2 linked regions of the Coturnix japonica genome follow. Each later gene encodes a partner of the first gene's protein in a complex. Links are inferred from orthologs where the notes say so. Each region holds a gene or a part of one and is shown in the gene's direction. Other genes may lie near its edges. The genes, in order: ZMYND8 and DBN1.

Region 1 (15,788 bases):
TTCACTGCTTTTATAAGTTGAAAAGCTGTTTTGTCCCAGCACGTGTGGCCTTACTGTGATTATTTTTAAATCTGTCTTTATTAATTTTGTGCTCTTTTCAGCTTCTCCTGCACCAACAAGAACAGGTCAAGCAGGGAGCTTGTCAGGCAGCCCCAAACCCTTCTCTCCTCAAGCATCAACGCCAATTTCTGCTAAGCAAGAAAGAACTGCCACTCCAGGGAGCATTCTGAATCTGAATCTTGGTTAGTGTTGACTTTTAGAAGTCCAAGTGTGTTGTAGCTGAATAAACTATGGTGGTGCCAAGATAATGTGAACAAACTTAGTCCTAGGTAGCTTTAAATGAACAAAGAACTTTAAATGAGGCGTTTTGTAATTGTTGTTCCATCAATCAAGATATTTGATATTTTGTAAGTGGAATTGAAATTTGCTGTTTCTTTTTGATCAAAAGAAGTAGTTAATGGATGATTTCTTCGCTGAATTGTACAATAAATGTTTCTGAACAGTAGGTAAGTTTCTAAAGCTTGTAATTACATGAACTGCTGATGACGTTTTCACTTGTCTTCTGGTCTTGCAACCTAGATGTCAGTTCTTTGCTGACCATCTGTAGCAAGGGATATACTGAGATTCTGAGATTGAGATCTGGAAAATTGAATTAGGAAAGTACTGCTTTGGTAAAATAGTTCTGAAAGCCAAACAGATGTAAATCCATTTCCTCAATCATGTTTTGCTTCTATGAATGTTCTTATTCAGTTCTGGATACATTTTCCATCCAATTGATGTTACGTGGAATGACAGAATGTTTCCTGGTCTTCACTAAATGCTAAAGGAAGGTTCAGATCAAGTTTTGCATTTGTTTAAATATACCACGCTTTTCAGTGTTCATCTGTGCTTGTGGACATACCCATGGAATTAATGACTTGCTGCGCCACAGCTGATTGTCTTTCTTATCAGATGTAACAATGCATTTGAAAAAAAGAAACATCACATGGGAATTGTTTGAGGCACAGATGGGAGGCATCAGCTTGAACATAGAACATTTTGAATGAATGGTGATACTAGGAATGGAAGCGGCAGCCCTTCATTTGATTTCATTTCAGCTGCACTAAACCTGACTGTATCTGCAGAACCCATGGATTTCAGATGTGACTCGTGCTGTCTTATTCTCAAGCACTGTGTGAAACGGGATTCCCCTAGAAAGCAAAATTGAAAATATGCAAAACAAAAACTTGTATCTTAAGGAGAATACTAGAAGGGCTCTGTGATCCTCCTCCAGTTCAACAAGGAGGAAGGGAAAACAGTGGAAAGGAGCCATCAGTTGTTGCTGGTAGACTGGCTAAAGTGAAAAGTGGAGGTGTGAATAACCAAGATATACACAGATTGCTTGGAAAAAATGTATAGTACAGGACCTGTCCTTGTGAAATGGAGACAGAAAAAGACAGACAACTTTAACACAATAAGGAGTGAAATTCCTGAGGTGGATGATAAGAAACAGTGAAGACTTTGGAGATGAGAATTTGAAGATTTCTCCTCAGGGGGTTTGTCTGCCCTCCGGCTCTGGTTTCTTACTGCAGCGTTAATGAGGCAAATCAGAAACTTGGGTCTTCTCAGTGAGACCCCCCTTGTGGGCAAGACAGATAAATTTGGGCTGTGAGACTTACTTCCATGTTAAGATGCAGGACTCCCTGGGGAGGTGTTACAGTGTCTCTTTGTCCCCATTTTTCACATTTCAGGTTGTCTGTGCTGTTACTCAGTCAGCTTTCTCTCACGTGGACGGTGACCTTTCTTCTCTTCATAAAACATTTTTCTCAATTCCTTTTCCTAGATCGAAGCAAAGCTGAGATGGATCTGAAAGAGCTGAGCGAGTCGGTCCAGCAGCAGTCCACCCCTGTGCCACTCATCTCACCAAAGCGACAGATACGTAGTAGGTTCCAGCTTAATCTTGACAAGACAATAGAGAGCTGTAAAGCACAACTTGGTGAGTATCCCACGTCTGCAGTGGAAACCTGGAGCTCACAGTTGAGAAAATGTTGAGTTGATAAAATCTTGAATTTTATTTTCTGACATTTCTGATTTTTGCCAAAAAGCTTTCAGCTTTTGTTCTGTTTTTGTACCATTCTGATGTAGGTGGTTGGACAGATCCATACATGTACTGCTGGCTTTGTACACCAAAAAAACAAAGATCAGTGCCTAACTTACGTTAGCTGCACAGATTGTATACCCAGTCACGCTGTTAAAAAGCACTAACACTGCCTAGCATTTAATTGAAGATTTCCTTGGCACTAAAAAGTTACAGGTTCTCCTTACAAAAGTCATGCAGTCTGAAGCTGATTCTTCAAACATGACTAGAAGTAACTGCAGTCAGTTGAGTGGTGTTACTAATTTTAAGGTGGTTTCTTATAGTTACTGATCATTCCTCTTAATATTTGCCAGTGTTGGTACAACACTGAACAAAGCTACAGCTTGTAGGTAGTGAAAAAGCGTTGTATCAAATAAAAGTAAGAATTGGTATATATGGAAGGTAATTCTCGCTTATCCTGATACTGAGATAGTGCATTAAGGGAGAGGCTGATAGCTGAAGGATTGATGGTTAGAGTAGTGGTACACATATACTTTGTTCTACGGAGGGCTGGGTTTGGGGTTTTGCCTTTTTTTTCCTTTCTCCTCTGGTAATACCAGTCAGTCTGATGTTAATACGGAACGTTCTTTCCTCCCCACCTTTAGGAATAAATGAAATATCTGAAGCTGTTTATACTGCAGTAGAACACAGTGACTCTGAAGATTCTGAAAAGTCTGACACCAGTGACAGTGAATACAGTGATGAGGATCAGAAATCAAAGAACGATCAAGAAGATGGAGAGGATAAGGAAGGTACAAGAAGTGACAAAGAGTCATTAAGCTTGAAAAAAAAACTGAAGCCCCCAGCGCAGAATGAAGATAAGGAGGAACTTAAAAGCACAAGCCCAGAAGTGGAGAAAACAGATGATCCAGTGAAAGAAAAGGCAATTACAGACACTGACAAAGAGTTTTCTGAAAAGGGAAAAAGTTTGCAACATCCTGCAAAAGAAAAACTGAAGGGTAAAGATGAAACAGACTCTCCAACAGTGCATCTCGGACTGGACTCTGATTCTGAGAGCGAACTGGTCATTGATCTGGGAGATGATCATTGTGGGCGTGAAGGACGGAAAAACAAGAAAGAATCAAAAGAACCTCCTCCTAAACAAGATGGTAGGATAAAATTCTGAATTATTTCTTCCTTTATCATTGCGCTGTTGCTCCAGTCAGAGCTGTTAGCTCTGATTTTGCATTGAGATGGTAAAATATCTGTGCTGCAACATGATCTTCATGAATGATTTTCCATTCTTTCTGAGTAAATGATATTTTCAGCCCCTGTTATAATTTCTGGATTAAGTTTTAAAAAAAAAAAAAAAAGTATTCCCATACACGTCCCAGAATCGCAGCTGTTTAATCACTGGAATTTTTCAGAGATACAAATAGTCTGAGTTCCAATTGAAATTAGTGCTTTCAGGGGGATGGGAACTTTTATGCTTATGCAGGGGAGAGAAAGGGCTCTAAACCTTAAGGGAAGGGGATTATCAGCCCAGGGAAGACAGTTCTTTGATCAGTGCTAATGTTTCGCTGTCAGGCTGCACAGCAAGAGAACGGGATCTGATACACAGAACAGTGGTCTATAAGCTCTGGGATGACAGGTGTAAGGGGTAACCTAGAAACATCTTAACGAATGATAACTTCTTGTTCTTCCAGAGAGGTTTTTGTTTACAAGCAGCCAGGATGGGCTATGAAAGGCTTGATTAACATGATTTATGTCTGTGGCATGATGGCTTCCTGAAAGGAAGCTGCAGTGAGGAAGGTGTCAGCCTCTTTTCTCAGGCAATAGGACCTGAGGAAACAGTCTCAGTTTCACCAGTGGAGGTTCAGATTGGATGTAAGGAAAAATTTAATCATGAGCAGGAGAGTGATCAGGCATTGAAATGGACTGCCCAGGGAAGTGGAAGAGTCCCAGTCCCTGCTGTTATTTAAGAGATGTGCATTTGTGACACCTAAGGAACTTGACTGGTGACGGAGCACAGTAGGTTGGGTTGGCAGTTGGACCTGGTGATCATGAAAGTCTTTTCCAACTTAGATGAATCTATGATTCTTTTCTAATTCCATGAGAATTTCTATTCCGGAAGGTGAATCTGACTTTTCAAAAATGTGGTGTAAAATTATGAATCAGATTTGGTGGTGAAAAGCTGACGTTACATTTTGTTTAGTTGTAGGTAAAACTCCACCTTCTTCCAGTGCAAGCACCCAGCCCCTACCAGAAACTCCAGTTCTCACCCGCTCTGCGTCCCAGACTCCACCAGCTGGTGTGACAGCAACTACTAGTGCTACTTCTACTGTCAGTGCTCCATCTGCAGCCACTGGAAGCCCTGTGAAGAAGCAGAGGCCTCTGCTGCCGAAGGAAACTGCCCCTGCAGTGCAGCGAGTAGTGTGGAATTCTTCAAATAAATTTCAGACATCTTCTCAGAAATGGCACATGCAGAAGGTGCAGAGACAGCAGCAACAGCAGCAGAATCAGCAGTCTCAGTCACAGCAACCTCAGTCCTCTCAAGGGACAAGATACCAGACGAGACAAGCAGTTAAAGGTACACACTTTCTAACTCAATGTGCCCATGATGCCATAATCCCCCAGTAGTGATGTCAGTGCTCCCAGCTGCATAACCAGGAATTCTTCCATGTAAACAAAATCTCAGAGTGTGGTCATTCTTTGATAAATGACTATGAAACACAACCACATACTCACCATACCTGCTCTTTCTGGTGTGAATTTAGAGTCATATCTCCTTATTTGAATGACAGACTGTCTGTGTGTGTATCTGCAAAATATCCTCGCTGTTCTTAGCCATCAGTTTTGAAAGACTAAATTGAATTATTTTCTGGATTACACAATGAAATCATTGATTCTGTTTCAGTTGCACAATTACCACTGTTACCTCAGATCTACAGTCTGTACCCAGTTTTATCTGCCAGGAAGCTGATTTGTTTAATCATCGTAGCTGTGTTCTGTATTATATGCTAGAAAATATCACATGAAAACACTCTAAAATATATAGATTTTCTTATACACTGAATTGATGTTCAATAGTACACAGTTAAATTGAAGAACCATTTTATTTCAGTAATTTCTCTTTTGAGGATATCATCAACTGAGATCTTTAATAATGTGAATTGTTAAAAATGAGTTGGAAACTAAGGCAGGTACACCATTAGGGATGGAAGGCTGAGGCTCTTCGTGTCCTGGTTTGGGCTCTTATTTTTGAATCACCAGCTGTTTTAAGATTATTTGAAATATTGGCAAGTGTGACAAAGCCATCCTGCTTACTGACTTCCATCCCACTTGAGGTAACTGTATATCAATTCTTTGCTTTAACGAGTTAACCTCACCTTACATTCCTTACTCTCCAACCAGAGGCTAAGTTTGAGCTGGGTGTATTACATTACATGTCAGAACACAAAACTAACAATAATTAGTAGCACTAATAATGAATGCAAATAACACCAGAGAGTACAACTAAAATTCTTCCTAAAGCTCTCTTCAAAAGTAGCTCAATAAATCTTGTTTCTAGTGAAACAAAGTCCATAATGTTCTTTCAAATGGTGACAAATGAAAATGTTTAAGATGGGTTTATGCTCATACCTATGGGACTAGTTGGGAGCTCTCCAAGTTGGGAGATTAGGAGGTGGGATGGGAAAGTCCCACGATGGGCAGAACAGATCAGAGGGAGACTTCTGCACTGACCAGTCTAAACTTGTAAGTTTTGAAGTTCTTTGCTGTATTGTCCTCGAGCTGTATAATTGTACATGAGTTCAGTGGCTGGTTGTTATAAAATCTATTTGATAATTGGCACCTTTGTACAAATAGGAACAATCTTGAAGTTTTCTTGGTGCATAATTTAATGAACATTAAAGTTAGAAGTCACCTATTCATTTTCACAATCATTTGTGATTAATGATGTGCTCTATGTTCTTTCCATAGCTGTGCAGCAAAAAGAGATCACCCAGAGCACTTCCACATCAACCATAACCTTGGTTACAAGTACTCAACCTATTTCTATGGTCACAAGTTCTGGATCTGCAAGTACACTTTCTTCCTCACTTAATACAGACTTGCCAATCGCTACAGCTTCAGCTGATGTGGCTGCAGACATTGCTAAATACACGAGCAAAGTAAGTTCTCAAACAAGATTTCCTTAAACTTATTTTTATAACGAAATTCAGAGCTTTTAAAATTCCAAGTTCTGAAATAAAAACGTTATTTAGAAATTAACAAGCAGTAGGTAGAACCAGTTAGACTCAGCTATTACTGTAGGAGTAGCTGAACAATGTCATTCTAAGCCAGATGCTAAGCATGGCATGCTCTGGCTGCCCAGGCACTTCAGACCTTTTCTCTCTCCTATTTCCCCATTACTTCTGTTGGTTACATTGCATCATGTTTTGGACAATTTTGGTATTTCCCGGAGGTGTAGGTATCCTCACCACCACAGTTACAGTAGGCACTAAGTATTGATCGTGTGCATTCAGTAAAACACACTTTTTCTACTGCCTAAAACAGTCCTTCAAAAGGAGATTCATAAAAACATATATATATATATATATATATATGTATATAGATACTAATAGTAATACAGGTTCACATTGGAGTGGTTGAAATGGTTATTAAGGATACATCTAAAACTTTTATTTGTCTTTCAGATGATGGATGCCATCAAAGGAACGATGACTGAAATATATAACGATCTGTCAAAGAATACCACTGGAAGTACAATAGCTGAGGTTAGTGTGAGATTGGAAGGGAGTCTGTGTAACACTTAGAAGTTGTAAAAAAAATTTTGTGCATAAAAATGCCACGTAATCACATACTACCATAAGAGTTACATGATTATGACCACAGATATAATACTTCTTTTTAAGTTTGCTGACCGTATTATCATGGTTAAATATATAATCTTTAGTTTGTATTAAACAAAACAGGGACGTTGCAGTTGGGAGCAGCGGTGTCTGTAGTGAATGAAAAACTCGCTTTCCTAAGTCTGGGCTCATTGAAATAAAAGAATCAATGAAATGGCACATGAAAAAATACAAGCAAAACTTAGAAACAGGTTTTTGACTGTGGTTAGAGAAGTTGGAGACCTGACGAATTTTAGATGTAAGACCAAGTTTAATGGAAGTGGTTTTTGTTTTCAAACAATCTGGCACTTTTTATGATTGGAAAACATTCAAATTAGATAGGATACCTATTACCCATGTTGTTAAAAAGGAGCCTTAATGTAAGTGACGATCAAACTCTTTGTTATAGCCTTGGTTTTTTGTGTAATAGTTCTGTTATATTCTGTACTCACTACCAAATATTAACATTTAATATCTATCTGTAATATTCAGATTCGACGTTTGAGGATTGAGATAGAAAAGCTTCAGTGGTTACATCAGCAGGAACTCTCAGAAATGAAGCATAATCTGGGTATGAAAAAGACAAACACAAAATCTGAATGCTTGTCATATACATTGCCTTCATCATAGATACTGTGGATTGTCCACGTGAAGGGTCAAACACCTTGTAGGATGTGCTGTCAGTATTAGTGGATGTCATTTCAGTCCATACACAGATTACTTTTATCTGTGCACAGTAAACAACATCCAGATTTGAGACCCTCTAAAAAACCTGAAGGTTCACAAGCTCAGGGGACCTGATGAGCTGCTTCTGGAGGTACTGAGGAAAGTGGTCAATTAAGTTGCTAAGCCACAATCTGTATCTTAGAGAAACTGTGGCAGTGAAGTTCTGACAGACTGGAAAAGGGGGAACGTAACTCCCATTCCTTTAAAAAGGAGAAAATGAAGAGCTGGAGAACTGCAGGCCAGTCATTTTCACCTCTGTGCCCAGCATCATGGAGTGTAGTAATAGGCAGTGGCTTTAATGGAAGACTTGTGTTTGCTGAGTGGATATGAAGCAGATATACCTAAGTTTGGGGAATATTTTATTAGCTTTCATTTCATGGAAAGGCAAAATTGATTTATCTTTGTATTTTGAGTAGAACTGACAATGGCTGAAATGCGTCAGAGTCTTGAACAGGAACGAGATCGTTTGATTGCTGAAGTGAAGAAGCAGCTGGAAATGGAAAAGCAGCAAGCAGTGGATGAAACTAAAAAGAAGCAGTGGTGTGCCAACTGCAAGAAAGAGGCCATTTTTTATTGCTGTTGGAACACGAGCTACTGTGACTACCCCTGCCAACAAGCTCACTGGCCTGAGCATATGAAATCTTGTACACAGTCAGGTAATCTTGCTCTGGTTTGCATGTTGCACAGCTGAGGGGAGCTCGGGTGGGTGGTAATACACAGTGATTCAGTGTTCGTCATTTGCATGTATGCAGATATGCCTGTTAGGATTGATTGAGGACTGGTGCACGAGAGTAGTGGCTATTCTTTCTTCTTTTTCTTTAGCTACTGCAACACAGCAAGAAACCGATACTGAAATTAACACAGAAACATTAAATAAATCATCCCAGCCCAGCTCAAGTGCACAGCCCACGCCCACGGAAACAGCCAGCACCCCCAAGGAAAAGGACATTTCAACTGATAAAAGCAAAGAAAGCGTTACAGTGAGTATTACTGCGGTCACTTGAAACAAAAATAGTATCTAAGAGTCCTCTGAAACCTGCCCCTAAAGGCCTCCCTGGGTCAGCTAGGAATTTATGGCCATTTGCAGGTTTCAAGTGTGTGATTTGGGGAATAAGAGAGAGAATTGTGGCTGTTTGTTTGTTTGTTTGTTTGTTTTTCCCCCTGTCATCTTGGGAAAAATCTCCTTCTGTCCTCTGGGAACACCCTTTCCCCTGCACTCATTCCCAATAAGAACTTGTGTTGGCTTGACTCATCCTTCCAGCCAAGGGGGACTGGACCTCTTTCTTTCTCTCTCTCCAGGACCCATCAGTGTAGCTTCTGGTCTGGATCTTTCGATACAAGTTGCCTTCTGATAAGCAATACTGACTGCAGCACTTCCAAGCCCTTCTTGCCTGGAGGTTCAGAGGCCAAGCTCAAGACCTGCATTCAAATCAACTTACTTTATCACAACAGACTGCCGATAGGGTACCGCAGTGTTCCATAACACTGATACAACAGTCCACCTGGATCTACAGTTAACGGAGCAGTGTACAATTACGAAATCCTCCATAGCATCTACTCTGATAGTATTCAGTAGGCAAGGATGAGCGAACGCTCTACTAAAAGGGACTTAACATTGCATATATAAAAAATGTTTATAGAGAAGATTCTGCTTTATAGGTAGGGCTTGACTATTAGCAATTTCAGCACCGTTTTTCTTCTGCCCTTGCAAGATTTATTAAATGAAAAGTTTTATGGGGGGGCTTATCCTTCAAACCCTTTACACTTGATCCTCTACATCAGTAGGAGCCTTGTTGTATTTTAAAATATTAAAAGCAAACTAATTTTGTAGTATTGTGATTCCAGCATGATGTCTCATTGAGATAGTTCTTCTAGAATTGGGAAGCATAGTATAATAGAGAGCTGTGTTCATTTCTTGACACTTTTGCTACTGTCTGGTGTTAGATCTCTGGGCTTGACATGTCATCTAAGGGAGTAACTTGAGAAACAGACTTAAAGAAGGGATAAAGGATGTGCTGTCCCACCTGAACCGGGGGGAAGTTCTTTGAACTTCTTTGTCTCAGTTGAAGCTCGTATGTATTGTCTGTGGCAGCGCGACCTTTGTACTACTGGGAGAAAAGGGGATCAGAGAAAATCAATTGCCTAAAACTTTGGCCAGGGAATATTCCAGTTATACTGATCTGGAATTGCTTTCACGTAGGTATTCTACCTGAAACATCATGCTGTACACATTGATCATGTTCATAATTTGAATTTTGCTTTATTAACAAAGAATTAACCTGTGAATTCATTAAGATACAAATTTTTAGCTCAAACAAAACATCCATCATAAATTTCATAAAATAATAACGACTAGGTGGAATTCATGTAAAAGCTGAGACTTTTACTGAGGTTGCCTGTGCTGTCTCTGCAGATAGCAACAGGTGTGACAAGCAACCAGCCTATAAAACTGGTCCAGGTACCGCAGACCACCACCTATATTCCAACTACTCAACACACAATTGTAATGTAAGTACTAATTCATCATTTAAAGTCTGCAGTAGTTCTGTTCCTGGCATTAAAATTGCACAGTATTTCTGGGGGGTTGTCTCCATTTGCTGTTCTATCAAGATATGAATTCACTGGTGTAGTTTCAATTTGCAGCGCAAAATGTCCTATTTTGCTGTGCAACATTCCACCCTTCCATTTCATCACTGATTATTACAAGGATTCAGGAGCTCTCCTTAAGAACAGTGAGGCACTGAGGATAGTCAGACTTCCATTTTACATTATTGTGTTAGTTATTTGTCCGTTTCATGTATATACTTGAACACGTCAATGTAAATATATAGAATTCATTTAAAGTATCTTTTAAATATCTTTTTTTTGTCTATGGTATCCTAAAGAGATTTAACCAATTCTGAGCTATGCTCGATACTCCCGTGACATCTCAGTAACTATGAAAGAAAAATATGCATTCATTGGTAGCGTGTCTCCCATGCAGTCTTGCACATTAGCATTGTGAAATTGAGAAATAGCATTGAATTCAGACCTGTTGTTTTTTTCTTTTTTTTCCATTGAGAACTTAACCAAGGACACTTGAATACCCTTTTATCAGTCACTGGAGATGGGACAGCAGTGAGTTTGGTTTTTATGTTTTGCGTACCGTAATGTCACGTTCTTTCAGCTGGTCGTGTTGTGCAGTGTTCACTGCAGGGTCAGCGTGGAGTCTGAGCTGACCTCTTACCAAACAGAGAAACGCTGATCCTGCAGTGCTGACTGAGCTGCAGGCCTTGTCTCACGCGGTGCGCTCAGCTGAGAAGCCCACGTTTAGGTAACTTCAGTTAGTTTTCTGACTGGAACTAGAGAATAGAAGCGCAAGTTTAACATTGTGACTGTGAGGCCTCATTAGCTGAGTCACTTTCTTTTGCGTTGTGTACACACACGGATACACGTGCACCCGCACACACTGCAGCATCTGCACACGTGTGTGTAGGAACACACACACACACACAGTGTTTCATAGCCATCACATTCAACAGGAAGAATTTATTCTCAGTGGATATCATGACTTATCACATTCCTAAGCATTTACACTCGACTTGTTTGTCCCGTCTGAGAGCACAGTGCACCTTTGCAGGATTGGCCCGAAGTCATTTGAATTGAATTGCTGTAACAAGTTTTTGTGTGTTTGAAGTGGAACGGCGGGCATGGCAGATGTTAGTCTCTGTTGTGAATAGTTGAGAGGTGCTAAGATCGCAAAGTGGCTTCATGTAATGTTCAGAAAAATGGCAGTGACCCCCATCAGTTTTCTGTAATACAGAATATGTTGAGTGATGTGAAGCGTAAGTGGAACGTCTGAAGGCTTCGACCTTTATTTGTGCATGTTCAAAGCGTGGTACACATTTGCATTAGCCTTGCACAGCTACAGACACCTCTGTACTCTAATGATTGCACGTGCAGTTTAAATACTTTTAAACCTTAATGCATGTTTAATATGTATGCAAAATGTACAAATGTGAAAAGCTGGCAGAGGTGGAAAATTTACCTCTCAGGGAAATGATCCTAATGCATTTAAGGAGTCTTGCACATTCCATATCCCCAGCACTCCAACAACTGAAATTAATTCTTTCAGTTGTGTAAGTGTGTATATGTAAAAGACAGCTGTGGCGACCTTAATTTCCCCACCTGTAGTGCTAACAGTGATGTTCATAATGGCTTCTTTTGAGTTCAGTTTGCACTTTGTTCCCAACCAGGCATTTCCTCCCTCTGAACAACTTTCAATACATCTTCTGGGTGCTGTTTCCATTGACCCCTCTTTACACCTCTGAAATTCATCATCAAATGACAAAAACCTTGAATTTATTCAGAGAACTGATTTTGGGTTTGGTTTTTATTCTTTCTGTGGTTAAAATGCCATAAACATTTAAATTCATTGTCCTTGCGTTCCAGGGGATGTTATGAGTAGGCTTCTGGAAGGGCACGGATTGTGTCACAAAGGAGCTGGTCAACACGAGGCTGTAACCCATCTCAGTAGGGATATTCTCAGTCTTTCCTGAACACCATCAAGGCACTAATGTGGTTTCTCGGATTGATGGGGGGAAGGCATTGGGCTTCAGTGAAGTTGTGTGTTGTTCTCCCGTGTTCGCTTTGGAAGCTTACACTGACCTTAAGGGGGAATCCTGGGCGTCCCTGTCAGGTTTCTCATATTCTCACTCCTCGTCTCTTCCACAAAGTGTTGTGAACTGAACTGGATGCGTTTGTTTGGTCTCCAGTTGTCCAGCACTGCGCTGTATCAAAGCATGATTCCAGTTTGTGCGGCATAACGTTCCTGAGCTTCCTCACGTTTCTGTAGGAAGGTTAAGATTCAGACTTAAGATCCAATAAATCCTTCTCCAGACGTTCCAGAGTGATGTGACATTGACCAGATTGTTTAACATTCTTGTGCCTTTGTCTCTGCATCCGTAGAATCCATTTCTACCCATAGAGATGTCCTGAAGCTTCATTTGTTAAGATTTATAGATCATAATCTGTACGATGGAAGTGAAAATTTATTCTATATGAGTATTTTTGCAAGGAGTGTGAGCCAGTTCCCAGAAATGCTGAAATGCTGATGGTTTCTTTATCAACTTGTGCAGAAGTTTAAGTATTTTTTTTTGGTTTAAATGGATGTTCTTTGTTCTCTTCTGTGTAGACTGAACGCGTGGGGGAATTCCTTTGTGGGGAGGTGGGGAGATGTAAGGGGTGTACTTACAGACAAGGGTATTTTTGTACTCCAGGTTGATTTGGTGGAACTTTTTCAAATGACGGAGGATTTTCTTAGCCCTTTTTTTTTTGTGAATTTATTTGGGGAAAATACATAACTGGATGTAGTAGCTTTGAAAACCTAATTCTCCAAGCATAGGTAGGGTGTGTACAGTACCTATAGGAACAGCTGGTCCCAGTAATTATAAAGGAACAATTATACAGGAAAAAAACCCAAAACCCTCTTGGCTATAGGAAAGTAATACACTACTTTCTGCCTTGGAATGAGGTAATATTGTGGTAATAAAGGTATTAATCCTTGCACAAAATTGGAGCTTGTTCTGGATTTTCCCTGGACGATAAATCTCTATTTCTGTGGTCATGTTTATATGACCTCTAACATAACAATATGTTTCTCTTGGTTTTAATCCACAGACCATTCCTGTAGCGGTAAGTCCTTCTGCTGGGACAGTGGCAATGAGAACTGGAGTTCAGTATGTTCAGACCACAATGCCAGTCCAAGTACGAAGAGTCTAACTGCTAACAAGAAGTCCATACAATTGTTGGAATATATAAATCTAATAGAAATGTGAAAAATAAACACAGTTCTTTGGATTAACCTCAAAGGTTCAGACTTAAGCTTTGTATAAACGTACAAAGCATTAACTACACTACATTAATGTAAAGCATTAGCGCTGGCTTAGAAAAGCTGAGGACAGGTAAGATCCGTGTCAAATCTCTGCCTCTTTTGTAAATAATGTACAATTTGTGGATGTCACTGAAGTTAGAGTTCCATCTCCTTTTTATATTTGTATGACTTTAACTTATAAAGAGTGTTTGAAGTTGGAAAAGAAAGGTTTAAAGCAGCCTTATCATAAGCTAACACTGAAAACTGGTCTGGGAAAATGGCAGTCGTGCATCAAATAACCTGAAGAACCTGAACAACTCGATTTGCATTTGGATGAGAACCATTTCTGCACTTGGAGACTCTTGTAGAATTCAACCAAATGATGAAGGCTCTCTTTCTTTCTGTTCATTGTGTTAGGCCAGTTCTGACATTTCCCGTCTGTGGACCTGAGATACGTAAAGATTTGCGTTGTTTTTTTTTACAGTGACCAGACTGTTAAAATTGTTTACAAGAAACAAGGTGAATTTCATTCAGGTTGATATGTGAGGAGTTGTGCAGTGTAACACCAGCTGGTTGGTGCCGTGCTGTCGTATCACTGATTTCACAGAGGAGAGGGTTGTTTTCTTTTTCCTATTCTTCACAGTTCAGTTTTCTTCCTTTTATCTTTTATTTTTAATTCTAATCCTCTACAAAGGACTTTGAGAAGCTTTTCACGTGGAACAAGAGCTTGGGGTGTGGAGAAAAGCATGGATCAGGAAACGCGGGCAAAGGACTTCTGATGCTGGGCCAGAGCATGTATTATTTATATGATGGAATTTATGTTTTTATGTAAGCATGAAGCAGTGCAGTATGAGAGAAAGTAACCCATGGAAATGCTGTCTGTTACACTTATACTGTAGTACCATTTTGTACGTTGTGTAAAACGAAAGCATTGAACAAAGCAAAGGTGATGTATGTATATGAGAAAATTAATGTATGATATCATTCCAGTACATTCTGTTGTACATTTTTAGTCATGTTGATTTTTCCCATTGTTTATAAAAGATTGCGGTCTGTACAGTCTCCAGCTAGAACCCGAGTTAGGGGGAAAGTCTTAGAAGAAAAAGGCGAGAGCAGAATATTCGTGAACTGCAGTTGTGTCAAAAATAGCCTAGCTGGCCTTATTTGTGAAGCATAATTGCTTTTAGCATATGGAAGTATTTTTTCACATTTTCTTTGTATAAAATTTGTATTAAACTTAAATATCTTTTTTGAAAGTGGTGTTTCTCTGTGACTAAGAGCTGACGCGTGGTTCGCTTTGGGTTCCTGCAGTGTTCCAAGAAACTTCACAGCTTTTTATTAAACCGTTTTAGAAAAGTGCTTTGTGTTCCTGGATTTCCAGTTCCATTCAGTCTGCAGTGTGACACCTGGTGACGTTTATTAGCAGAAGAGGTCCGGTGCTTGTTGTGTTACACTGACCGCCTTTGCATCGGGGCTGGATGGGAAGGATAGAAATAGTAGATCCAGTCGTGCTCAGTGTTTGTGAGCTGAGATGGGGGCTGCCTGCTGAGCAGTGCTGCAGTCCTCTGAGAGGGCAGGAGCTGGGGCAGGGCTGCTGTGTGTTCCATAGGGATCTGATGGAAGAAACAGTGCGAGCCAATGAAACGGCTCCTTATAAAACCCGGCTGTTCAAGTACCTGCTCATGTGGTTATTTTGTTACAGGCACTTATAAAACAGACAAAGTCAATGTTCTCAGTGCTACTGCTTAAAGAGAAGCACAAATATTGCAAGCCTGGAATGATGTTCTGAAATGTGGCTGGAACGTTGGATTAATAACATTGTGACCTCCGTCACTGAAGAAATAGAAAGGAGGTGAGCGATTCAAAGAGGCTGAGAACACGCAGTGCTTTCTGCAGCCTCTATTCCAGTGATTATTTTCCTTTTAGATTTCAATAACCAGTGTTTTTTTTCTTTCATGTGGAATCATGGATGACGGATCCCAGCAAAGACTTGTTAGCAGGCCAAGATTCAAGGAATCTCAGATATATTGGTGACCGCTTTTAGTCCCGTTTTGGCTGGTTATGGTGTGAAGTTCTTTTTTTGTTTGTTTTTTTTTCCCCCTGAAGATTTTAACTAAAAGTGAAGGAAGAACACATCCCTGGCTTGGACATACAGGGGGAGATAACACTGATGTGATATGAGCATAAAGGGTAGGCCCCTACTTTAAGGTGAATTACTTATATAGAGAGTAGCATCTCTTTTCCTTGGGAGCTGAGTTCTGGA
Region 2 (15,562 bases), on another chromosome or scaffold:
CCGCACCGGCACCTCCCAGTCCCGCTCCTTCCGCAAACTGGCCCGGCTGACGGGCACTGATGGCTGTAAGTCCCTGCGGGTCTGGGGCTGCCCGGTGGCACTGGGCTGTGGCCGTGGTGGTCCCGTGGTGTTGGTGTGTTGGCCACGTGTGGGTAGTGCTATGTGGGGCCGTGCTGCTGCCGACTGACTCTGTTTCCTCCTTTCTCCCTTCTGCGTTCAGTGGAAGATGATGATGTATTTATTAAAAAGCCCAGGTAAGGGGGGTGCAAGCACAGATTCCTGGGCTGTATGTCCAGGCCTGTTGGCACTGCTGGCACTGCGCTGGGGTGGTTGAGCTGCACTGTGGTCTCTCAGGCAGCTGGGGTGAGCAGGATTGTGCTGGCACTGGCAGACCTTGCTGGGGGTGTTGGGAGGTGCTGTGCACCTTTTAGAGGCCAGGTGGGTGAGCTCTTGAGGCTCAAAGCCCTGCATGGAAGGACACAGATTAGGGCTGTGGCACAGCTTTGCCTTTCCCCCACCCCTCCTGCCTTGGTGCCGTGACCACTCAGTTCCAGATCTGCCTGGTTTGCTCCGTTGCAATTAAACACTTGTGGTTTTTATAGCTACCTCCTTCTTGTCCTTGCCCTCAAGAGGCACAAAGGCACTGGCTTTCCATCTGACACTGTCCTTGCTCCTCTGGGTGCTGCTTGCCCTGGCTTCTCACAAGCCCAGTGCTGGCAGGGTGCTGGGGGGGGCACAGACTTTGCCCCCTCTGGTACCAACCCATCCCTGCCCTTCCTGGCTCTGCTGGAGCTGGCCCAGGGCTCCCCACACTACCAGATGCTGTGTGTGAGGTGGAGGTGTGCCTGGACACTGTCACAATGGAGCAAGCAGCATTGTGTGTGATTCCCCAAGTCCCTGCCAGCCCACAGCACCTCAGCATTAGGGCACAGTGCTCCTGTGCTCCCACCCTGCTGGGTGCCACAGACCTGGGGGTGCTGCGGGGCTGAGGGTGCTTAGCTCCAAGCCCAGCACCAAAGTAGCTACTGGCTGGGCATGGGTGCTTGGCCAGCTCCTGGCTGCAGAGTGGGGGTCCTGCCTGCATGCACAAGCTAGCCTGGGTTCAGGGGCTGAGTGTGGCCAGCAGGATTAACTGGTGGTTTTGTAGCCAGGTCTCCGTACCGGACCCATCCCCGGGGGCAGCAATGAAGACAGAACCAGGATTGGGTGAGAAAAATATTTTCTTTGAGTTTGGGGTGAGGGGAGCGGGGCTATGGGTAGGGCTGGTACTGCACCTCGCCTACCAGTGGGTGCAAAGGGCTTGGGAACATCATCCAAGAGGCTTCTGTTTGTGCAGCCCCCAGGACTCCTGCTGCCACCCCTGGCCCTACCAGCCGCCCGCCCTGGGCTGTGGACCCCTCATTTGCTGAGCGCTACGCACCAGACAAGACGAGCACGGTGCTGAGCAAGCACAGCCAGCCGGCCACGCCGACCCCCATGCAGAACCGCAGCTCCATTGTGCAGGCAGCCCAGCAGGCACCCGAGGGCCCCGGCCGCACACCGCTCTGCTTCAAGTGCAACAAGATCATCAGGTGAGCCCCGGCCTCTGCAGCCCTGCCACCATCCTGGGCACTGCCAGGCCCCGCTGTGGCTGATGTGGCTCTGTCCCACCACAGGGGACGCTACCTCGTGGCCCTGGGACATTATTACCACCCTGAGGAGTTCACCTGCTGCCAGTGCAGGAAGGTGCTGGATGAGGGTGGTTTCTTTGAGGAAAAGGGCTCCATCTTCTGCCCCAAGTGCTACGACACGCGCTATGCACCCAGCTGTGCTAAGTGCAAGAAGAAGATCACTGGGGTGAGTGTCCCTCAGTCTGCCCTGCACCTCCCATCCCTGCTTACCTGTGTGTCCCCAGCTCTGTCCCTTCTCGTCCTGCCCCAGGGGTCTCCGGTTCCTTTCAGCCCTTGCTGGGGTTCCCTGTGGTGTGGGGTGCTCCCTCCTGGCTGACAGCGGTTCTCTTCCAGGAGGTCATGCATGCGCTGAAGATGACCTGGCACGTGCAGTGCTTCACCTGCGCAGCCTGCAAAACTCCCATCCGCAACCGTGCCTTCTACATGGAGGAGGGACAGCCCTACTGTGAGAGAGGTAGGACCAGGGGAGGACCCCACGGCACCCCACACAGCCCCGGGGTGCTGCTCACTGGTGGGGCTCAGCACATGCCCAGTAGCACCGAAGAGTGAAGTCCAGGGTGCAGAGCAGGGAGGGGACCCCCGCAAACCCTCCATCCCCATCCTCCCTGGTGCTGGGTGGTGCCATTGCTGGCATGTTGCCGTGGTGATGATGGATGATTTACATCAAATGTGAGTGCTGCATCCTGGGTGGGGGGATTCACCTCTTCCCTGTGGCCCAGTGGTGGAAAGGGCCACCCTTCCCCAAGTGTCCAGTGCCTTCTTGTGCTTCAAGTCCTGCCCCTCTCCAAAGCTGAAAGCAAGTTGTGCCCAGGCTGTGCTGCAGCCCTGCTGCACCAGAATGAGGGGTTACAGTCTTGGAGGAAGCACTGACCTGTGCTCTGCCTATGTTCACAGACTATGAGAAGATGTTTGGCACCAAGTGCCGTGGCTGTGACTTCAAGATCGACGCTGGGGACCGGTTCCTGGAGGCACTGGGCTTCAGCTGGCATGACACTTGCTTCGTCTGTGCGGTGAGCCATGTTTCTCCCTGCTTCCCCCTGCTGTGAGCTGTGTCTCACATGGGGTGCATGCTGCCATCAGGTTTCCACTTGGCTCTGTCCTGTTAGTTCTGAGCCTGCTGCTCCCTGACATCTGTGCTGGGCTGCAGGGAGGGTGTATGGGAGGGGATACTAGGGGCTGGCTCAGCCCTCCTGACTGCCTGTGCTCTCCTCCCCAGATCTGCCAGACCAATCTGGAAGGGAAGACATTCTATTCCAAGAAGGACAAGCCGCTGTGCAAGAGCCATGCTTTCTCTCACGTGTGAGGGGCAAGAGTTCAGCTGTGCCTGTGCATGCCCCTGGCCCTGCATGCTCCTTTCCCACCCTTTCCCCTGCCCCAGGGAGCCAGGCTGGGACTTCACTCCTACCCCTTGCTCCTGCCTCTCTCCTGGCAGCTCCTGGCCGGGCCCTGGCAGAAGCAGCACTGGCTCCTTCCAGCTGGCTGGCTTCTTTTGTGCCCCCTAGCTGACATAGGACCCTAGGGAAGGGGATGCCACAAAGGTCTCCTGCCCCGAAGCTGCTCAGCACGATGGTTGTGGCCGTGCTGAGGCTGGAGCTGGAGGAGGGTCTGGCTGCATCAGGGCTGCTCCTTTGCTTTGATGGGGTCCGGCTGCCTTGGCACTCAGCACCAGGGCAGGGACAGTCCTTGCCCCCAGCCTCTGCCATACTCTTCCCTCACCTCCTCCACTTCATACTCAGCACACAGGGCTTGAGCACTGGCCCTTCTTCCCCCTGCCTGCACTGACCCCACAGCCAGGCAGTCTGCTACCATGGTTTCCTACCCACCCCCCCATGGCTGCATGTCACAGAGCTAGGGGGGCTGTGGGGCTGCCTATGGCAGCACCCCCGTGCCATGGAGCAGGACTGTGTGCCATGCCTGCCCCCGCTGTAGGCTGGGGGTGCACACCAGCCTCTGGCTAATGGGTTCCCATCAGGCTTGAAAACTGCTTTCTACCAAAGAGCGTGTGCCACTGCTGTCCCAGCACTGTAAATGCCTCTCCCAACCCCCCCACTTTCCAGTTGGGCTGCGTCTGATGTAGCCACGGTGCTTTTAGTGCCTTGAATAAACACTTTTTTGCGAGTGCCCGCTGTCTGGGGACTGTGGTTTTGCTGGGCACGGTTTGGTGGGGGCAGGAAGGTCACACATGGCCCTTGTCCCGCCTGGAGTCCTGCTTTGTTTCCGGGGTTTCCCCTCCTTTGCACCTTGGCAGATCCCTGGGTTGCCCTTGCCTGGTTTTAGCAAGCAGAGAGCAGCGAGGCAGCAATTAATCCAGGGGGCAGAGCAACAGCAGCGCTGAGCAGGAGATGGTGCTGAGCCGTGACCTCGCAAGGGCATCGCACTTAGCCAGCACCGTCCCTGTGTTCCTGCTGTGCCCCATTGCCCGTGCAGGGACCGAGTCACCGGCACGAGCAGCTGGAGCACAGCGGTCCTGGCCGTGCCCCGAAGGACGGACGGGAGGCACCGCCGCCCGGTACAGGCTCTGGAGCGATGGATGTGGGGCCGGCCGCTCCCAGCGCTCCGATCCGACAGCTGCAGCGGTCAGTAATAACTGCAGCCCTCAACGTGATGAGCGATGTATGGAAAATCGCCTCGCTCATCCGCTGGAGCGTTCTGCCGGGGGCAGGAACCCCCGCTCGCCCTTCTGCAGGTGGCCAAGTCCCCCCCGCACTCTGCCCTTCCGCAACCCGCAGCCTCCGCTCCCTTCTGCCGGCCTCACCGAGCGGCCCCCGCCCTCCCCGCGCACAGGAAGGAGGGTCGCGGGTGGGCTGCGGAGGTGGAGCCCGAGGAGGGGCCGCGCCGCTCCGAGAACAAAGCCCCGCGGCTCCCCGCGCCGCCCCCACCCCCAGGGGCAGCTGAGCCCATCGCGGAGCGGCCGCGGCCGGCAGCTGCTCGACAGCTGCTGCCCAAACCCCGCAGCATCGCAGGGCGGCTCCGGATCGGGAACCGCTGCGAGCAGGGCGTGGGCAGGGAGCAGCGAAACGCTGCGTCCCGCTGTACATTGCGCCCACCGGCACCGTGCCCTGACCTTCAGGGATCGGGACCCCGTGTTTAAACCCACTTTACTGCTCGGGTTGCTGCGGGCCCGGCTCCTGCCTGGGTTGGAGACGTGGGGCGGGCAGGGTGATTCCGTGTCTGTCCCTCGCAGGAGGGTGCTGACCCGTGTGGGAGCAAATGGAGACGGCTGCACCTCGGAACCACAGACGGGGGCAGCTTGGAAAGAACTTTATGGGTTCATGCAGAGGCACAACCTGGGGGAGATGATGTCCGCGTCGAGGGCTGGAAGGGCCCGGGGTGGGTTGGGAGCAGAGGGACACATCTGACAGCAGCGGGGATGGAGGGGAGCCCTTCATCCCATTGGCAACCCCAAAGGCTGGGCCTGGAGCACTGAGGGCACAACGGGGCAGAGAGGACAGTGTGGGGTCTTCGGAGAAGAAAGTTCCAGGGCCGGGGGTGCACGGGGTGGGGGAAGTTGAGATCACGGGGATCCCGGGGTAGAGCGGACCGAGGGCGCATCCGCGGGATTCGGGGTGCCCAGAGGGAGCGCAGCCGGGATTTGGAGCCGGGGGTGCAGAGCGGCTCCTCGGGTCGAGCTTCGCGCTCCGCTCCAGGAGCTCTGCCCCTCGGCGGGTGCCGGTGGGGGTGGGTGCCCCAGGGGTCGCCCCGGGGGAGCGGCGGGGGCCGGGGCGGAGGGGGGGCCCGCCGTTCGCGGCGCTAGGACCGGGCGCGGCGGCGGGCGGAGCCTCCCCGCCGCTCGCCCCTCCGCCCGGCCGCTGCGGCAGTGTCTCGGAGGCGGGCAGGCGGCCGGTCCCTCCGGTCCCCCGGCAGCATCCCGGCCCCGCCATGGCTGGCGTCGGCTTCGCGGCGCACCGCCTGGAGCTGCTCGCCTCCTACCAGGACGTGATCGGCGAGGACAGCCCCACCGACTGGTGAGCGCGCCCGTCGCCGCCGCCGCCCCTTTGTCCCCGCCGCCCGGGGCCCTTTGTGCGCGGAGCCGCCCGGTGCACCGAGCGCGACGCAGCCGCCAACACCGGGACCGCGCCCCGCGCTGCGCCCTCCGTGCCGCCCCGCCGCCCCCCGCCACCTGCACCGGGCCCGGAGCCCCGGCACACAAAGGCGGGCGGGGCCGGCGGGACGGCGGAGGAGGTGTGCCCGGCCCAACGCCCCCGGTGCCCGCACCTGCCCGCCGCACCGCACCGCACCGCACCGCATCGCACTGGGCCGGGGCGCGGCCCCGCTTTGTCTGCGCCGGGCGGCACGTGGGGGCACCGGGAGCCCCGCTCCGAGCCCCGTCTCCTTTCTGCTGGCGGCACCGCGCGTGGGGAGCGGCGGGTGGGGAGGGCCTGGGGGACCCTCGGTGCTGGGCCCGGTACTGGGATGCGGTGGAGTTTTGCCATTGTCTGGAACCGGGGGTGGGTTAGCGGGGACGGGGAGCCCTTAGCCCGGTCTCGGCGGAGCCAGGCCCGCAGCTGTGAGGGAACTGGCGTCCCCGCTGCTCCCGGTTCCCGCAGCCCCGGGGGGAGCGCTGGGTACCCGGTCCCCGGGAGGGCCGTGCGGGGTGCCCCGGGGCTGGGATGCGGTGAGCGGAGCAGGGGGTGGCGGCACTCTGGGGTGCTCCACCTGCACCCTGATCCCTCTGGCACCCTGTGCTGGGGGCCTGGTGGTTCCAGGCTACAATGCAGCTTTGATAAGGGAGCAAATCCCACCGCAGCTCCATCGCTGCCGCCCCCAGCGCCCAGCTGCCCTCTGGGACCCCCTGCCCTTGTCCCCTGGGTGGTCGCGTGGGGGTGCTGTGCGCACCCCAGAAGCCGGGACTGGTGCGTGCCATGCGTGCTGAGCTCCTGCCAGGCTGAGTGCTGCTCTCCTGCTGGGTGTCCGCTGGTTGGGCCTGAGCATGGCCCCCCCCCACCAGTCCCACTCTCTGGGTCCCTCCAGCCCTGCTGGTGGCACGGTGGGTGAGTGCGGAGCGTGTTGGTGGCCAGGAGGCAGCTGTCAGCCCCGGGTACATCTGGCTTCCCAGCATCTGCTGCAAAGGATCGTTCCCTGCCAAAGCTGCTGAGAGCAGCAGAATCAATTCCCTGGAAGGCGAGCACTGGGAGTGGGCCACCCCTCTTCCAGTATTGAACCCCGCAGCTCCTTTGTTGTGTCTGAGCCCCGTGCTCCCCATCTCCTCCAGTCCTCCATCACCCTTGGTGCCCAGCGCCAGCAGGAGCAGCATCTCCACTGCAGGGCCTGGTGCCCATCTTCGGTGCAGGATGGGGAGCGGTGCTGGGGGACCATCGTGGCTGGGGGACTGTCCCCAAATGTTGGAGCTGGGCAGGGCGAGCCGGGGCTCTGAGGACGCTGCGCTGTGCGGCTCTAAGCTGGCTCGGGGGATGCCGGGATCCCCGTGGCCACGGGATGTTTAGTCTGGGATTTCCCCCGCCCCAGCCCAGTCCTGGAGGGTCCGAGGCTCCCCTCCCCCTCCCCAGCCTCGCGGAGGCTGCTGGGGCCCATTACTCGATAGGAAAGGAATTTGGTGCTGCTTTCTGAGCACGCCGACTCCCTAGAGCTCGCAGCCACATTGGAAACACATGTGCCCGGGTTGGGGCAGGCAGAATAGGGCACCCCCCCATTCCTGACCCTGCATGGGGGGCAGACGGCTGCGGGAGAACCGCTGTGGTCTGGCACAGAGCAATGGAGGCTGCAGAAGGGCAGTGGGCTCTGCCCCCTTGTCAGTGATGGGGAGATTCAGGTCACAAGCATCCCCTGCTCCCTGCCTGTCCCTGTGTCACCCATGGGTGATGTCAAAGCTCGGGTGCTGGGGAAGCTGCATGGGGGGATGGAAGCATGGAAGGAGATGGTCCGTGGGGTCGTGGTGCTGTTGGTCCCTGCTCATGGTGATGCTCTGGGCTCTGTGTGGGGCTGGGAACACTGGAACTGTCCCTCCTGGTGCTGGAACAGGCTGTTCTGAGGGCAGAACCCGCAGTGCTGAGCTGCAGGAGCACCTCTGGGTGCCAGCAGCAGCAATGTGCTCAGGGTGCTGCCCTACACAGGGGGATGAGGGGGTGGGCAGCAGGCAGCGGGTGCTCTGGCTGCTATGCCTTGGCTGTGCCCTACTTTTGCATCCTGTTCACTCTGCCTTAAGAACCCCACGGTCCTGCCTGCAGCCCCCCACATTGCAGCCCTGTCCCTGGGGGAACAGAGCAGAGCCAGGGCTGGAAAAGCTGCCTTTTTCAGCGCTGTGAAGCCTCCCTGCTGCCTCCAGCCTGGGAGCTGCGTCGGCTCAGGCGGCCGATTAGCGGGATTTGGATGTGCGGATTAAAGTCAATCTTGTTGGTGCAATTATCTGTAGCTCACTGCGAGAGCAGGGCTGGGGGGAGACTGGGGGCTACGGGTGCTGCAGGGCGGAGGGAGCCTTGTTTCCCCCTCTTTGTTAGGCAAGGCCTTAAATTCCTGTTATTTCTCAGCTGGAAGGAGGCAGCTGAGGCCCAGGATGGAGCTGTGTGGCTCTGGTGCGGGGCTCTGCCCATGGGGGGCACCCGCTTTCCATTCCTGCTCCCATCCCTGCTTTCCTTCACCACTTCCACTTCCCATCCTCACTCCCCATCTCCCATCCTCGCTCCCTATCCCCTTCTTGGAAGCCACCAACTCGGGTGGGCTCCTCCCTCCCCAGCACCGCAGGGATTTTGGCTCTGTGTTGCTGCCGATCGGCAGAGCTGCCCGCCCACCCAGCAAAACGATAATCTGGGAGGGGGTTGGGGGGGGAGTCCGGCACGGTTGGCCCCGGCTCCCCGGGCACAGCGCGTGATGGTGGTGGGTTTGGGCGCCCGCCAGGTCCCCGCTGCCTGCCTGCCTCCCCCGCTCCCCTCCACTAATCACCTCGTCATCGGGGCGAGCTGCATCCCAGCTGGGATGGGGGGTTGCCATGGAGATAGAGGATGCTGGTTGCTTAGCAACAACCATCCCCTCGCCCACCCGCCCTGGACCGATTCAGGGCACGGCGTTCTCCCCCCACGTTGCTGCCTGCCCACACTTGGGGACTTGCAGGGGGTCCCGTGGAGCCCCGGGTGGGCTCATTGGGGCACAGCGGGGGTGCGAGAGGGTTTTCCCAGCCGCGGGGAATGGTTTCCAAGGAACAGTCTCCATGACGGCCCCAGCACACCCCGGCGGCACATTGATTTGCTGCCGCTGGAGCTCTGGCGTCCTCCCCCAGCCTGGTGCCTGGCGGGCCAGTGGCTCACGCAGCCAGGAACGTGAGCGGCCCCATGCAGGCTGTCCCCAAAGCCAGCTGACCCCATGGGACTGCAGGACAGGGATGGGTGTATGGGCAGCTGGGAGCACTGCGTCATGTGGGATGAGTGCAGCAGCACCCAGACGGTCCTTGTGCCGAGTGACCCTTCTGTGCCTGTCCTTGGGGCCTCGCTCCATAGCTGTGAGCTGTGCGGTGGAGTGCCCTGCCCCATATTCTGTGTGCAGGAGAGCTGCCCTGTGCTATGGAATCTGTGCTGGATCCTTTGTGTGATGGTGGATTAAGGGACCTTTGGCAATGCCACTGGTCCCCAGACCCTGGCTTGGGCTCAGTGTCAGCAGCAGAAGGGGAGGTGGGGAGGCTGCCTCATGCTGTGCAGAGCCATTCTTACCCCCTGCACTCCCCCAGGGCCCTCTACACATATGAGGATGGCTCCGATGACCTGAAGCTGGCAGCATCAGGAGGTAAGGTCATGTCACCCAACCCCCATTTCAGCCAGGGCTCCTGGTACAGGGCTGCCGTGTGCTGAGAGTGCTGTGCACTGTGCCAGGAGGGGGTCTGCTGGAGCTCTCTGGGCACTTTGAGATCCAGAAGGTGATGTACGGCTTCTGCAGCGTCAAGGAGCCCCAGGCCGTGCTCCCCAAATATGTCCTCGTCAATTGGGTGAGTTGGGCAGCGTGGGGACACCTCCTGCTGAACACGGGGTCCTGAGCCAGGGCCACTGCAGAAAGGCACAAAAGAGTGACCACGGGGGGTGCAGGTTGTCAGCGGGGTGGTGGGGGCACACTGACCCCCCCCTGGCTCAGCACCCCCCTGAATGATGTAGGTGGGTGAAGATGTGCCCGACGCCCGTAAGTGTGCCTGTGCCAGCCACGTGGCCAAGATCGCCGAGTTCTTCCAGGTGGGTGATGTCGGGGATGGGGACTGGGCCTGCTGCGGGGGGGTCTCTGATGAGTTTTGCCCCCACCTCCCCCAGGGTGTGGATGTTATTGTCAATGCCAGCAGCGTGGAGGACATTGACCCAGGGGCCATCGGGCAGCGGCTCTCCAATGGGCTGGCGCGTGTCTCCAGCCCCGTGCTGCACCGCCTGAGGCTGCGTGAGGACGAGAATGCCGAGCCCGTGGTAACGTCCCCATGTCCCTGTGGTCAGGGTATCCCCTGCACTGACCCCAGCCCTGTCCTTGACACCCTCTGACTCTGCTCCATCTCAGGGCACGACCTACCAGAAAACCGATGCCACCGTGGAGATGAAGCGGCTCAACCGGGAGCAGTTCTGGGAACAAGCCAAGGTGGGACGGCGAGGGATGGGCGGAGGGCACGGGGTGTTCCATGGGATGGGTTGTGACCCCACGTCCCATCCCTGCAGAAAGAGGAGGAGCTGCGCAAGGAGGAGGAGAGGAAAAAGGCGCTGGATGCGCGGCTGCGGTTCGAGCAGGAGCGCATGGAGCAGGAGAGGCTGGAGCAGGAGGAGCGCGAGAGGCGCTACCGGGAGCGCGAGGAGCAGATCGAGGAGCACAGGCATGGGGCCAGCTGGGGGTGTGAGGGTCGGCGGTGCTGGGGGGTGGAGGGAACCACGCTCAGCTCTGCTCCTGGCCCCATTGCAGGAGGAAGCAGCAGAGCATGGAGGCGGAGGAGGCCCGGCAGCGCCTGAAGGAGCAGTCCATCTTTGTAAGTGCCGCGAGGAGCTGGGAACTGGGTGGTGGTGGTGTCAGGGGTGATGGTGTCGGGGTGATGGTGTCGGGGTGATGGTACCGTATCTTTGCAGGGGGAGCAGCAAGAGGAGGATGACAGGCAGCAGCTCCGGAAATCAGAGTCAGAGGTGGAGGTGAGCTCAGCACCCAGAGCTGTCTGGGACCTGGTGTGGGGCAGCCCCCTGCTGCCTGGGCTGGAGGTCCCAGCCTTGCTCCTCCCTGCAGGAGGCTGCTGCCATCATTGCCCAGCGACCCGACAACCCCCGGGAGTTCTTCAAGCAGCAGGAGCGGGTGGCATCGGGCAGCAGCGACGCCATCTCGCCGGGCAGCCATAGGACAGGTGAGGGGCTGAGGAGCACAGGGGGGGTTCAGTACACGAGTACATTGCCACCGGGGCACTCGCAGCTCATCCACAGAGGGGTGGGTGTCCTCTGCTGCCACTTTTGCTGTGGTTCTGGGTACTGGGAGGACTGCTGTCATTCTGCTCAGCACCACCACTGTCACAGCTCCTCAGATGGGCACCTGCTGCCACTGGGACAGGGCTGGGGCTGCAAAGAAGGGGTCCTGCAATGGGGGAATTCAAACTGCTCATGGCTGGGTGCCCTTTGCACCTCCTGGCAGCATGGTTCAGCTGTGGTGGCATCTTGGGGACTGCGTGCTGGCTTGGGAAAGAAGCTTCGACAGCTGAAAAGGGGCAGAGGTGGGGCTGAGGCTGGACGACTGCTGTGGGGCTGATGTGGGGCACCTGGTGTGCCCCTGGCTGGATGCATGTGGCACATTGTGTATCCCACAGTGTACGTGCCCAAGGGTCCCCATTGCTTGTACACAGCAGGGCAGGATGCCCATTCTGGGTCTGGTGGTACCTGCTGGCCCTGGCAGCAGGACTCTCAGCAGACTATAGGTGGGGTGGCTGGCAGGGGGTGCTGGGCTGCCCCACAGTGCAGGGTGCAGCCCTGGGGCTCTGCTTGCAGCTCTGGGTGCTGGCTGTTCTGGTGGGTGCCTCTGCCATGGGGACACGCTGTGGGGCTGTGCTGTGGATCACGCTGCGGGCTGTGCTGGGGGCTGTGCTGGGGGGAGCTGTGCTGAGTGTTCTCGCTGTGAGGCAGTGCTGTGGGGTCATGTCTTGGAGCAACACTGTGGAGCTGTGCCTTGGGGCAGCACTGTGCGTTTTGCTGTGGGCTGTGCTGTGGGTTCCTGCTGTAGGGATGCGCTGTGCCTGAGCAGACAGATGGCCCCGAGGCTGTGTCCTGGCCCCTTTGCCCACCCGGCCTTGGTGCTGCCTCCCGTCCCGCCGTCCTTCTGTCCTGCCGTCCTGCTGTCCTGCCGTCCTGCTGTCAGTGCTGTCAGTGCTGCCTCCCTGCCGTCTTCCCCATCCCGGTGCCTCGGTGTCCCGGCCCCGCCATGGCCACTCTGAGCAGGGACTGACCCATCTCTTTGCTCTCTCTCTCTCCGTCCGTCTGTCTGTCTTTCTCTTGGCAGGTCGTCTGCACTGTCCTTTCATAAAGACAGCTGACAGTGGGCCGCCTTCTTCCTCCTCCTCCTCCTCCTCCCCCCCGCGGACCCCCTTCCCCTATATCACCTGCCACCGCACCCCAAATCTCTCCTCTTTCTTCCCATGTAGGTAGCTGGGAGCCTCTGGGCACGCAGCCCCTTGGCCCTGCACCCCTCCCCAGCTCTGCTGCTTGTGGGACCAGGGTGCAAGGACAGAGCCGTGGGATCAACAGCCAAGCACAGGGGGCCAAGGGGCAGCTCCTGTGCCCCGCGATGCATCAGGAGTCAAATGGGGACAGGGCAGAGCCGTGCCCAGGGATGTGATGCTGCGCCTGCGGGGCAGCGAGGGATGGATGAGGCTGTGTCCAGGACCGTGTGGAGCTGTGCCCATGGGGCAGGAGGAGGCACGTGGTGCCGTGACCCTCCAGCTAGAGAAAGTGGGCACTGTGTGGTGCCTGCAGAGAGCTGAGGCTGTGCCAGGGTTCAGTGGGGCAGTGTATGGGCAGCGTGTGCCAAAGCAGGGCTGGGGACTGCAGCTTGTGGGGCTGCCCAGAGGGGTGCAGGGCTTGCTGCACCAGGCCTCCCTCCTGCTCAAGGAAGGGACTCGAACTGGGGGGGATGGCTGTGTTGCAACGTGCGTCTCACAGCTTTTGGGCAGAGCGCTGTGGGGCGCTGGGGCGCTGCTCCCTCCCCGTTCAGGTGTTCACCCCTCAGTGCAGGCGTTTCCCCCCAAGCCGTGTCTCCGTTGTCTGCAGGCAGCCAGTCCGACTACCGAAAGGTTTCGGCAATGGGCTGCAGCCCCTGCGAGTCCAGCCCGGCCTCCACGCCGCTGGGCGAGCAGCGCGCCCGCGCCACGGCCGAAGAGACGCCGGCAACGCCCAAAGGTGGGCGAGGGACTGGCGCTGCCTGCTGCATCCCCCCTCATAAACCTGCATCCCCTGCTGCTGCATCCCAGGGTCCCCTTTGCAGCTCTCAGTGCATCCTCGCCGTATCGCCCGGTGCATCTCATGCGTCTCTGTTGCATTCCCACCGTCCGTGTTGCATCTGCGCCGCATCCGCTGCTCCCTGCTGCTGCATCCCCACCACCACTGGTGCATTCCCTTCATACAATGCTGCATTCCTTGCTGTCTCTGGTGCAGCCCACGGTGCACTCCCCATTGTCTGCGCCGTGTCACACCAGTGCATCCCCCACCATGGCTGCCATGTTCCCAATGCGTCTCTGCTGGATGTGCCGCATTCCCCGGTGCATCCTTTCCTTCATCCACTGCATCCCAGGGAACACATCTGTCCTGCTGCACCTTCTGTTGCAATTTTTGTCTCCTTTGTTTCCCCTGGTGCATCCCTGCTTTCCATTGTGCACTTCCGCCCCTTTTCCTCCCTTTGCCCCCCAGCTCCCAGCCCTCTCCCCTGCCTCCCCAGTGCTCCTCTCACCCCCACCGTGTCCTACTGCCTCTCCAGAGAACACCATTACCGCCCACCCATCCCACCTGCCCTTCACCATCATCTCCCAGCCCAAAGCTCCCCCCACCTGCCCCTCAGTCCTCAGCCATCCTTATGGTGGGCTCTGACCGCTGTGCCCCCCATTGCAGACTCCCCCAGCCCCAGCACCCAGGTGGCAGAGCTGGCGGTGACCGAGCAGCACTGGCCCTTCCCTGGGCCTGAGGACAAAGCTGCAGAGCCGCCAGGAGACGAGCCCGACCCCAACCCCAGGCCGGCATGGACAGCAGGGGCTGACGTGCTGGGGGACCTGGTGGCCCTGGAACCCTCGGAGCCATCCCCAGCGCCCGCTGTGGCCGACCCCCAGCCTGCGGAGACACCCGCTGTGGCCGAGCCCCTCATCGAGCTGTGGCAGAGTGATGGCGCAGCCCCCGCTGCCACCAGCACCTGGCCCCTGCCCGACACCCCTGCGGGACCCCCGGCTCCCCCCGAGGAAGGCACGCTGCTGGGCCTGGACGAGCTGCCCGAGCCCCCCGCCACCTTCTGTGATACGGAGCAGCATGGGGAGGTGGTAGAAGAGGAGGAGGAGGAGGAGGAGGCCACGGCGGGTGGGCCCCATCCCACAGAGCTGGGCTACCAGGAGGGCTACCAGGAAGGCCACGAGGTGCCCCCCATCACCAACGGGGAGATGGGCCCCAAGGACGGCACTGCGGGCCGTGGCGAGCAGGTGAGCACCATGGGGGCTGCGGGGTCACGGCACAGCGGGGTGGGGGTGAGGGCACAGCGCCTGCAAATGGCGGCACCCAAATCCCGCAGGCCAGCGAGGGCTACTTCAGCCAGTCCCAGGAGGAGGAGGCCCCGCCGCCCGAGGAGCCCTCGGCCAAAGCCCCGCAGCCCATCTTCTACAACAAGCCGCCAGGTGAGTGCGCGCAGCAGGAACAGGTATGGGGGGGTCCAGTCCGCGAGGTGCCCCCTAACCCCATCCCCATAGAGATTGACATCACGTGCTGGGACACCGACCCGCTGCCCGAGGAGGAGGAGAGCTTTGGGGGCGATCTGTAGGCCCAGCGCAGCATGGAGGCCCCGCCGGCGCGGGGTGCGAGCGGCCATGGCTGGGGACCCCTCCCTGCTGGGGCCCCGCAGGATGGAGCCGGGGGGGCCGCCCCGCAGCACCCCGGGGTGCCTTTTTCAGCCCCCCCGTCTCTTTCTCTTTTATAAGTTGTCGGTAGGAGCCGTGTCAGCCCTCCCCCTCCCCTCTCCCCTCCCTCTGGCCCTGTGAACCCCTTGTAGGCCCCTCCCCACCCCAGCCCCCCGTTCTGGGGGGGGATACATGAGACCCCCGTGGTGCCCGGCTGTGGGATGGGGGCCCCATTCTCTTTTTGTCCCCCTCCCCCCTCCCCAGTACTTTGCACGAGTTAAAAAAAAAAAAAAAAGGAAAAAAAGAAAAAAAAAGAATAATAATAATAATAATAATAATAAATGAATATGGCAATAAAGTGACCCTACCGAGGCGAGGCTGCGGCCGGTGGTGCCCCCACCCCAAAGCACTGCAAGGTTGTGGGGATGCCCTCCTCACCAGGACCCCCCCAGCGCAGGGCTCGCCCCGTCCCCATTTCCCTCTCCCTGCTTTGCCCCTCGCTTGGCCCCCCCCCCTCAACCCCCCCCTCCATACGGTATAACTGTTTTTTGGAAAGCACAAGTTCTGTAACGGCGGCGTGCTGATGTATGTTAATAAATAAAGCGACTCCCGCGGGGGCTGCTGTCTGATGGGGGGGGTGTAAGGGGAGGGGGAGAGGTGCGGGTGTGTGTGGGGGTTGTTGTGGATGTGGGGGGGGTTGGTGTGGATGCTGGGGGTCCCTTTGCCCCACGTGGCGATGGATCCGAGGCGAGCCGGATCCACAAACTTTTATTCTCAAACTGTAACAAACAAAATAAGAAACAGAGCAGAGTCTGAGCCCGGCTCCGAGCCCCCCCCGGCCGCGGGGGTGCCAGCAGGGGATGACAGG

The links.
Region 2: the proteins of ZMYND8 (region 1) and DBN1 are in contact, whole or in part, in a crystal structure (PDB 5Y1Z), measured with the Homo sapiens proteins. The link is inferred for Coturnix japonica from reciprocal best matches to the Homo sapiens genes ZMYND8 and DBN1. Residues at the interface, in NP_001350670.1 of Homo sapiens: Gln167, Pro168, Gly169, Thr170, Gln236, Ile237, Val240, Lys243, Ile244, His247, Trp269, Leu285, Gly287, Phe288, Phe307, Gly309, Gln310, His311, Asp312, Ala314, Thr335, Lys336, Ser337, Ile338; in NP_004386.3 of Homo sapiens: Met1, Ala2, Phe6, Ser7, Arg10, Leu11, Leu14, Tyr17, Glu18, Asp92, Ala93, Cys96, Ala97, Ala99, Ser100, Lys104, Glu107, Phe108, Gln110.

What each region holds. Positions count from the first base shown.
Region 1 is NC_029535.1:5,074,946-5,090,733, reverse strand, and holds the end of ZMYND8 (protein kinase C-binding protein 1), read left to right. Parts: intron 1-101; coding exon 102-242; intron 243-1,822; coding exon 1,823-1,975; intron 1,976-2,721; coding exon 2,722-3,225; intron 3,226-4,271; coding exon 4,272-4,646; intron 4,647-6,037; coding exon 6,038-6,228; intron 6,229-6,753; coding exon 6,754-6,834; intron 6,835-7,440; coding exon 7,441-7,519; intron 7,520-8,090; coding exon 8,091-8,330; intron 8,331-8,496; coding exon 8,497-8,654; intron 8,655-8,973; coding exon of another isoform or gene 8,974-8,988; exon of another isoform or gene 8,989-10,087; coding exon 10,088-10,182; exon of another isoform or gene 10,183-13,332; coding exon 13,333-13,345; coding exon of another isoform or gene 13,346-13,434; 3' UTR 13,435-13,523; downstream 13,524-15,788. UniProt on the Homo sapiens protein: Chromatin reader that recognizes dual histone modifications such as histone H3.1 dimethylated at 'Lys-36' and histone H4 acetylated at 'Lys-16' (H3.1K36me2-H4K16ac) and histone H3 methylated at 'Lys-4' and histone H4 acetylated at 'Lys-14' (H3K4me1-H3K14ac).
Region 2 is NC_029528.1:11,957,077-11,972,638, reverse strand, and holds DBN1 (drebrin), read left to right. Parts: upstream 1-5,439; 5' UTR 5,440-5,549; coding exon 5,550-5,635; intron 5,636-9,345; coding exon 9,346-9,401; intron 9,402-9,487; coding exon 9,488-9,600; intron 9,601-9,763; coding exon 9,764-9,838; intron 9,839-9,913; coding exon 9,914-10,060; intron 10,061-10,148; coding exon 10,149-10,226; intron 10,227-10,303; coding exon 10,304-10,455; intron 10,456-10,541; coding exon 10,542-10,605; intron 10,606-10,702; coding exon 10,703-10,762; intron 10,763-10,853; coding exon 10,854-10,968; intron 10,969-12,107; coding exon 12,108-12,245; intron 12,246-12,874; coding exon 12,875-13,003; intron 13,004-13,708; coding exon 13,709-14,283; intron 14,284-14,372; coding exon 14,373-14,475; intron 14,476-14,547; coding exon 14,548-14,618; 3' UTR 14,619-15,311; downstream 15,312-15,562. UniProt on the Homo sapiens protein: Actin cytoskeleton-organizing protein that plays a role in the formation of cell projections. Required for actin polymerization at immunological synapses (IS) and for the recruitment of the chemokine receptor CXCR4 to IS.